Sus scrofa: one gene and its partner. The protein of the gene in region 2 interacts with the protein of the main gene of each other region in a pairwise test. Links are inferred from orthologs where the notes say so. Each region holds a gene or a part of one and is shown on either strand. Other genes may lie near its edges.

Evidence for each region.
Region 1: the proteins of RAB11B (region 2) and RAB11FIP2 interact in binary tests that used the Homo sapiens proteins (3 or more experiments, as listed by UniProt). The link is inferred for Sus scrofa from reciprocal best matches to the Homo sapiens genes RAB11B and RAB11FIP2.

The regions. Positions count from the first base shown.
Region 1 is NC_010456.5:128,100,764-128,104,576, forward strand, and holds part of RAB11FIP2 (rab11 family-interacting protein 2), read right to left. Parts: coding exon 3,650-3,813; intron 2,953-3,649; coding exon 2,484-2,952; intron 1-2,483. UniProt on the Homo sapiens protein: A Rab11 effector binding preferentially phosphatidylinositol 3,4,5-trisphosphate (PtdInsP3) and phosphatidic acid (PA) and acting in the regulation of the transport of vesicles from the endosomal recycling compartment (ERC) to the plasma membrane.
Region 2 is NC_010444.4:70,893,088-70,897,682, forward strand, and holds the start of RAB11B (ras-related protein Rab-11B), read right to left. Parts: upstream 3,083-4,595; 5' UTR 2,689-3,082; coding exon 2,649-2,688; intron 1-2,648. UniProt on the Homo sapiens protein: The small GTPases Rab are key regulators of intracellular membrane trafficking, from the formation of transport vesicles to their fusion with membranes.

The DNA of each region.
Region 1 (3,813 bases), on a different chromosome or scaffold from region 2:
TCATGGGGGAGCCAATTCACCCAGAGAACAAAATCCAGCTCCACAGCTACATATTTTACCCTTAACTGTGTTCAGGATTCTCACGAACATTGGTCACAAGCGTCCCGGAGACTCTATAAATAGATCTATTTAGCACTATTGGAAAAAGATAATTCACAGCATGTGTCCTAGAAATGTGAGTTCATAGCTTCAAAAGTGCATTTGGCTTAGATGTTAATGTGAGAAAACTAAAATACTCCATATAACTGAGAAATGATAGCGGGAGGATAAATACAAATACACTGATACGTAAAAACCAAACTACCTCGACTACATCCTTTCTAATTCCATTCGAGACATCATTTCCCCAAAATTTGATCTGAACTCTCTTCCTGGATCTATTTATATTCAATTTTTCTTTTTTTATATGCTACTACTGAGAGCTACCCCTTTATTGTAAATGTTTTACATTTACCACAAAGATGGCTTGTGACACAAAAAGGAAGGGTAACTTCTTAGGACTCGACAAATGTGTTTGTCGTCATAGCTACAGCATCTCAGGAATATGAAGAAGAGAAAAATCTTAAAGTTAAAAAAACTTTTTACATACTTGCAATCATTATATGTATAAAATGAAACAGCTCTAACACTGATGGACACAGCATTAACACTGAAGTAACCCAAAACAAAGTCTATATTTGGCAAAATGCCACACTCACTTTTAAAACACTAATTCTTAAGTCCATGTAAACAGCCCAAGTCAATTAAAAAGTTGAGGGTACCTATTTTTCCATATATTGCCCTAATATTTTTCTTTTTTTTTTTTGGCCACACTGGCACCATATATAAATTTCCCAGCCAAGGACTGAATCCCAGCTGCAGCTGCAACCTACGCCACAGCTATGGCAATGCCAGATCCTTACCTACATGCCACAGTGGGAACTCCATGCTGCCATAATTTAAAAACATTATTTTCCTACCATATCCCATTTTTCTTGTTTTTCTTGGACTCTAAAATTACGTACATTAGCCAATCTCTAAGTTATCTCAGATAGTTGCTTGCGACAATCTTTTTCAAAAACAGTTCAGTTAAGGAGGGGAGAAAGGAAACACATTTCTATTAACTTCTGTCGTTTAAGACCCACAATAATGTGAAGCACACCATATAAAATATCAAAATGAAATATTTGAGAATAGCACATCAAAACCATGGATTCGTCAATAAAATATTAATACCCTATGATAAAAAAGCATTTCTTTGGCATATAGCCTATAAAGAAAAGGGAATGATACATTCGAAAGCCACAGCAAATACCCATTTATTGATAAAAGAAAACAAAAGAAGTACAAACCTTCCCTAGAAAACTCTAAATGCATGTTTTAATGTATCATTAGAAAATCAGAAGACAGCTGGGGGATCACAAGCCTAAAAGGGCAATTGTTGGTACTCTTTTCTGTTTATAGTGGGACAAAAACAAAGCACTGTTTCTGAATAAAATATGACATGGCTACATACAGTGTAACAGCAACTACCCTTTATGGGGTCCCTATTTGGGGCCTGTCTTTGTACTATGTACTGTATCATTTATCACCCCCCAATCCTAACAAGTAAGAATCACTTTCCTTATGTCAAAGATGGAAATGCTGAGGTTGACAGACGTCACAGACCTACTGAGCCAGCTTTCCCACGGGAGTCTGAACGCCATGCGTTCCTGCCCCAGGAAAGAACGTCTATGTTACCTGGCAAACAGTCCAGCACACCCTTCCTTGACAATCGCTTAAGACTCCAATAAATTCATTTTATTCTTTGCTTGAAGTTTCCTTAATCAGTTATTCTACCATTCACTCCTGCAATTCCATCATCTTATTTAAACCATAGTTTCAATTTGTCCTAAGGAATTAGAAAAGTATCACATACATGACCGAGCCCAAACTTTATCATGATAGATTATTTCTGTGACTAAGTCATCATTACAGATACTCCAAGAGTACCCACAAGATTCACATAAGCATTCAGTAAACATTCACAAATAAAAACTACTCCAAAGAGCCATTTAATATAGTTAACACCTATTATGAAAACTATTACTACTTCAGCCAGCATGTCTTCAAGAATAGTCCGCAGGCTGCTATTGGTCCATAACTAATTTCTGGAAAATAAGGTGTAGAAACACGACGTACCTCGATTTCGTTTGAATTAACACCTACTGGTGGTTCACTCTCACCACGTCTCATCAAAAGCTATACTATTCTCTCCATAAGTTTCGGTGAGTTTCTGGCTAAGTAAGAATAAACTTCAGTACGGATTAAGAATCTTTTATCCTTCTAAGATAAAAAAAGTTCAATTCCAAAGATGTATGCAACATTGCCTGGCTCCAAAATTAATTATAAAAATAAGATAAGAATTTTTTTCAAGTAAAATGAAAGGAATTTAAAAGGAACATCCGATACTTTCAAGTACAATATGTTCCAAAATAGCAAAACTTTCCCCCTGTTAAGCTTACCTTGAAGATGGCATTATATTTGAAGCCCTGAATTTTGTTGTAAACGGATTAGTTGACTCATAATCAAAATAGTCCTGACGATTTTCACTAAATGCATTAGGTGATTTCAAGTCACAAGGGCTATCGGATCCCCCATTGTTAAGTTTATCAGACCTTCTGCTATCTTTTTTTCCAGTCACTCTTTCAAACAGGCTAACTTTCTCTCTTTTCTCTCTCTTATTTTCTTTTCTTACTTCAACCGATTTTGAAAATAAATTCACGCTGCTGTCCCAGGATTCACTGCTTTCTTCAAATGGATTTTTCTTCCTTGGCAGTGTTGCAAATTTTTGGGGTAATGAAGCAGTCACATTTGTAAATGGGTCACTTTGTCTTCCGAAAGACGATTCACCTTCTTCCACATTGCTGTCAGGTTGGTTCATTTTAGAAGTATCAAAGCTTAATGTTCTTCTGTGTGGAGATTTGAGACTTCCTGCAAACAATTTTGTAGTTAGTACATAATCAGTGACACATTACATCCCACTATTTGACACATCCTGTGTGCATACTGCCGCTTTTAGAATGAGAGCAATTAGCTATTTAAAGATATTAACCTTTAAAATAATCAAGGAAAACAATCTTAAAATGCTAAGGAACAGTGGTATGTAGGCTAATAACAATTAGTATCTGGCTAACAATTAGTAATTTACTCAGCTCAGCAAGAAACAATCACATAAACAAAGTATAATGTCAAAACTAAAGGTTCTGCTTGGCCCCGCAGTGCTATAAATTCTCAGACTTCTTTCATCATTAGCATTAAATTTACGTTCTTATTTCTGAACATTAAAGGTTTTTCCTAGGAACTTTCTAATGAAATGGGATATTCATTTATGCTTCTGGCTTTTAAGATGGAAGAAATGGCAGTTAAAAAAAGAAGAAGCCAGGCCACGAAGAGAGACCAGGACTCATTTTTATTACCTAATAATATAATACAACGCTGAAGGCAGACCCACTCCGCCTTCAATAAACTTAACAATTTTGAGTAGAGTAGGCACTCAATATTTGACGACTAAATTTAGAAAATACTAGCAAGAAACTCCCACCTTTCTTCTCTAACTTTAGAAGTCGATACTTTGAAAAGTAAAAGGGTAGCTCAGACCACGGAGGAGCGACTGGAATGTGTCACTTACCACTTTCCGGAACTGCTCCAAAGGGCTCTATCTGGCGTCCGAGAAGATGAGTTTGAGCGATGGCGCCCGACTTCAGCTTCTCCGAAGAAATGTGGGCCCCAGTTAAATCAGACATTGAATGCGCCGAAGAGAGTCGCTGAGGACCCAAAAGGAAAGGCTTTTTT
Region 2 (4,595 bases):
ACTGCTGGCTTCCTTCCTTATTTGCCAGAGCCAGATAGAGTTTTCTTTTCCTATTTAAGTAAGTGAAAAATTGAGTGGACTTCCTGACAAACACTAAACGGCGGAGGAGCGGGGGGTAGGGGGACAGGGGGATTGCTCTCGTCATGGGAGCCCTGGAATACAAGTTCGATCCCCAGTCCAGCACAGTGGGTTAGGGATCCAGCATTGCCACAGCTGTGGCTTCAGTTGCAACTGCAGGCTCGGATCTGATCCCTGGCTCAGGAACTCCACATCTCGGGGTGGCCAAAAAAGAAAAAATGAATAAAGATAAGGAGGTGGGGGTTTTTCCAACAAGGCCTAACAGTGAAGATGAGGTCTGAGATGACCAGTTTGGGACCAGTCTTGTGGGTTAAGGCTTTCACTTTCAACCTGGCTTGAGAACGTCAGCAGGGCACCTGCTCAAGAAAAGGAGCCCAGTGGGAGAGGGCAACAGGGCAAGCGGGCACCGCCCCCATGCCAGTTGTCCCAGAAGTGTTTCCAGGAAGAGGACTCCGGAGATGAATCCTGGGAAGCGCACAGCCTGCTCCATTGCCCCTGACCCAGTGATTGTACTTCTGGGAACATACTTCAAGGAAATAACCCAAAGGAAAAAAAGATGACTCGTGCAAATACTTGGAGCTGTGTTATTTGTGACGCAAAAATGTTGAAAATAATAAATGGGGAATGACTGCAGAAACAATGGGAGGAACGCCCCCTGCCCTGGTAGTTAACACATCCAGGTGGGTGCCAGCCAGGACCTAGGAGCAGCTGCCTCAGGGTGGGCTGGGTGGAAACAGGCACCAGCTACAGCAGGACTGGTATCCAGTCCACCTGTCATTAGTTCCCAAAGCCCTGAAAGAGCTTCCTCTGCCTCTAAGTGTCTTTTTTTCTTCTTTTTTTTAGGGCCATATCTGTGCCATATGGAAGTACCCAGGCCAGGGGTGGAAATGGAGCTGCAGCTGCCGGCCTATGCCACAGCAATGCAGGATCCAAGCCAAGTCTGTGACCTATGCCACAGCTCAGATAACACCAGATCTTTAACTCACTGAGTGGGGCCAGGGATTGAATCCGCATCCTCATGGATATTAGTCAGGTTTTTAACCTACTGAGCCAAATGGGAACTCCCTCCTCTGCCTTTAGAGTGAGACCTCAAAGCTCAGTCAGCACCAGGGCCCGGGCCTGAGGCCTCAGCAGCAGTCTACAGGCAGCTCCCCCAGCCTAATGGTGCTGTCAAGCTCTGGGCCTTTGCATGGGGGCTTTCTCCGCCCAGAAAACTCTTACACGTGAATATCCAGGTAGGGACTGCTCCATCCCACCTTCCACATGTCTAGGGTCCCCCAGCCCCAACATGCTGGATGATATCACAGTCAGGGATGGACAGAGACTACACTCCCAGGGATGGCCAAGTTCCCCCAGCGAGGACAAGATGCCAAGAGCCAGCATGGGAGGCACACTCTCATGCAGCAGGCAGCATGGGAAGGGTGTCCTGTGTGGGCCCAGAGATTAGTTCTCAAGGGTGGCCAGCGTCAGCCAGACAGCCCAGCACAAGACCTGGCCAAAGCCTAGGTTGGCACAGAAGGCACTAGAAAGTCAGTGACTCCTGAGCCAGTCCGCTGTTGGCTGCCTGCCCTGCCCTGCCCAGGGGTTACTTGAAGCTTCTAGAGCCCTCTGTCCCCCAGGGTCAGAGAAGATCCTCCAGCAGTTTGGAGGAGGTGGTCTGACAAGCCCAGTCCCAGATCTTGGTCACGGGCTCCCTCAGATACACTCCCTATGTGGCCTGGGTTCAAATCCTGCTCCAACACTTATTAACTGCGCCTTAGTATCCAGGTCCATAAAGAGACAGGATGGAAAATACTGACCTCATTGGCTGTGGTGAGGGTTTCAATGAATTCATGTGTATAAAGTGCTTAGAAAAGTGCAGGTACTTGGATGGTGCTATTATAGTTCTAAAAGTTAAGAGATAATTGTTGCTGTTAAGCACCAGGCCTGGGTCCAGCACACTTAGTATCCCCCCCCACCTCCGACCCCCACAACCCCCAAACGCAGGTACTCCTCTCAATCCAGACTCCCGCACTCCAAACCAGGCTCCATTCAACACCTCAACCCCCATTGTCCGCCCCTCCCTTCCAGGGCTCCGCCCCCAGACGCACTGCCACCAATCAAGGCTCTCCCCTGCCACTCCGTGCGAGCACCGCCCCCACCCGTGCAGCCCAGCCTACTTCTTGGACACGCCCACCACATCCCAGCCCCGCCTCTAAAGGCCCCGCCCCCACCGCTAAGGGCGCTTTCCACCTAGCCCGGCCCGCCAAACGCTGGGACGACCCCGCCCCCTCTGAAGGCCCCGCCTCTAACGGCCTGTCCCACCGCCCCCGGCCCCACCCCCTCTGGGCCCTGGCCCCGCCTCGGTGCATCCAGGGCCCCCAAGCCTCTCTGGGCAGCCTGCCTCGCGGGGCCGCAAACCCTGGCCTAAACTTGATCATGCCCGACCCGCAGTGGCTTTCCTGGCTGCCTAGCCTGCCGGGCGCCAACCCTCTGGCTCCAGTCTGGGGCCAGAGGCCTGGAGTGCAGCCTCGGCGCCTGCCCACCGCTTCGCTGCCGCTCATAGCCCGTCTGTGCCCCACCGGCCGCACCTTTGAATAGGTAGTCGTACTCGTCGTCCCGGGTCCCCATTGTCCTGGCGCTTCCGGCGGGATCGGCGACTCCGCAGCCCCACCACAAACACCCGACGGGGGCGGAGCCGGCGCCGCGCAGAGCGGCGGCCGGATGCCCAATCAGCGGTGGATGGCGTAGCGACCGGCACCCAGAGTAGCCAATAAGAGGCTTAAGCAGAGCCCCCGGGGTGGGCACCGTCGGAGATCCACCTTTTTCGCCCTCGGTCTCCTGGAGAAAGGCGGAAGGAATGCGGACCTTTCTGAAGTGACGGCCTCTTCAGCCTATCAAAGGCTAGATCTGGAAGGCGGGTCGGAAGACCATAAGATGAAACGGATTGACGGAGCGAGTAGCCAATGAGAGGTTTGAATCAGACAGCTCCGGACCACCAGAGGACCTGTCCGGGAAGGGAAATGGGGCTACGTCCAGGTAGTGTTACGCTATTTAACGTCCCAATGACGTCATAGGTCAATGCGCGCGGCTCTTCTGGACGCTCCCCCCACCGCTTGCCCCATAAATGGCCTTTTCCGGGGGGGCGTCTGCTTGGGGACCTTTTCAGCTTAGAGGGAGATCCCCTCTCTCTGGATTGCAGTTTCTATCCCTGCATTGGTGACTCGTTAAGATACCCCTGCCTCAGCTTCCTCCCTTTGTATAACGGAAGAAACTCACCTTATGGAATATTTGGAGTATGATTAGACCATTTACTTAAATACCTACTAAAACAACCATCCACAGTCTGTCATTAAGTCTTTGTTTAACAAATATTTATAAATCCTTCGTGTCATTCCTTCTCTGTCCCCTTATGTTGTTTTATTCCACAACCCCCTCGCCCCCAAGGATTTATCCCTACTTGACGAAGTATTTCTTTCTCCGCCCTGTTAAAAAGCAAAATTCAGGTGAGTACATTTGACGATCTAATAGCCTTTATTAAAAAATTCGTGAGTCAAGTAGCATCTCATCTGTTAAGCAGAGATAGTCCGAAAGGTTGCTCAAAATGGAAGACGTTTATAGGAAGGAGGGTGAGACAAAGAAGTCATGACGAGAGAAAAAAACAAAAGTTCGTTTGGAGGAAAGTAAGCGTTCAGGTAAGGACAGCATCTCATTGGCTAAGCTGTGGTGTCTTCATTGGCTGGGCTTGTTGCTGGGAGGGAAGAAAATCTTTTCTCCTTTAATGAAGTAGTTGCAGTGTCTGTTTGGGAGTGCAAGGTAAGTCTCTTGTGATTGGGGTCTGTAACTGATGTCTTCCTGATTGGGGTCTTTGAGGAGTGGTTGGGCGTAAGAGCTCCCTCTGAAAGCCTTTCCTGACTCCAATTTTAGCTGAGGTTTCCTTTTTAAAATTTTCACAATCTAGGAGTTCCCATTGTGGTGCAGAGGAAAACCCAACCAGTATCCATGAGGATGCTGGTTCAGTCCCTGGCCTTGCTCAGTGGGTTAAGGATCTGGTGTTGTCGTGAGCTGTGGTGTAGGTCGCAGATGTGGCTTGGATCTGGCTTTGCTGTGGCTGTGGCATAGGCTGGCAGCTGTAGCTGGGATTCCCCCCTAGCCTGGGAACTTCCATGTGCTCTGGGTTCAGCCCTAGAAAGCAAAAGATAAAAATAAAATTTTCACAGTCCAGTAGTTTATTTAGTTTCTGTTCCTCACCAACAGAACATCAGCCCAGTGAAGGCAGGGGCTGTGTCTGTGGCAGTCGGTGTTGTGTCCACAGTGCTCAATAAATGATTAATGATAATGTCAGAGTGGGGCTCATGTGCTAATTGTAATAATAATTATTATTGCCACTTGGACCTCTTCCCTGGGATGTCCACCTAGCATCCCACATACAAATTTGACCTCTTTTCCCATATTCTCTTCTCCTCCAGTGACTCCATCTCTCTTCCACCATCATCAAAGCCAGAGTTCATGGACTCCTGTCCCCTTCTCAACCTTTA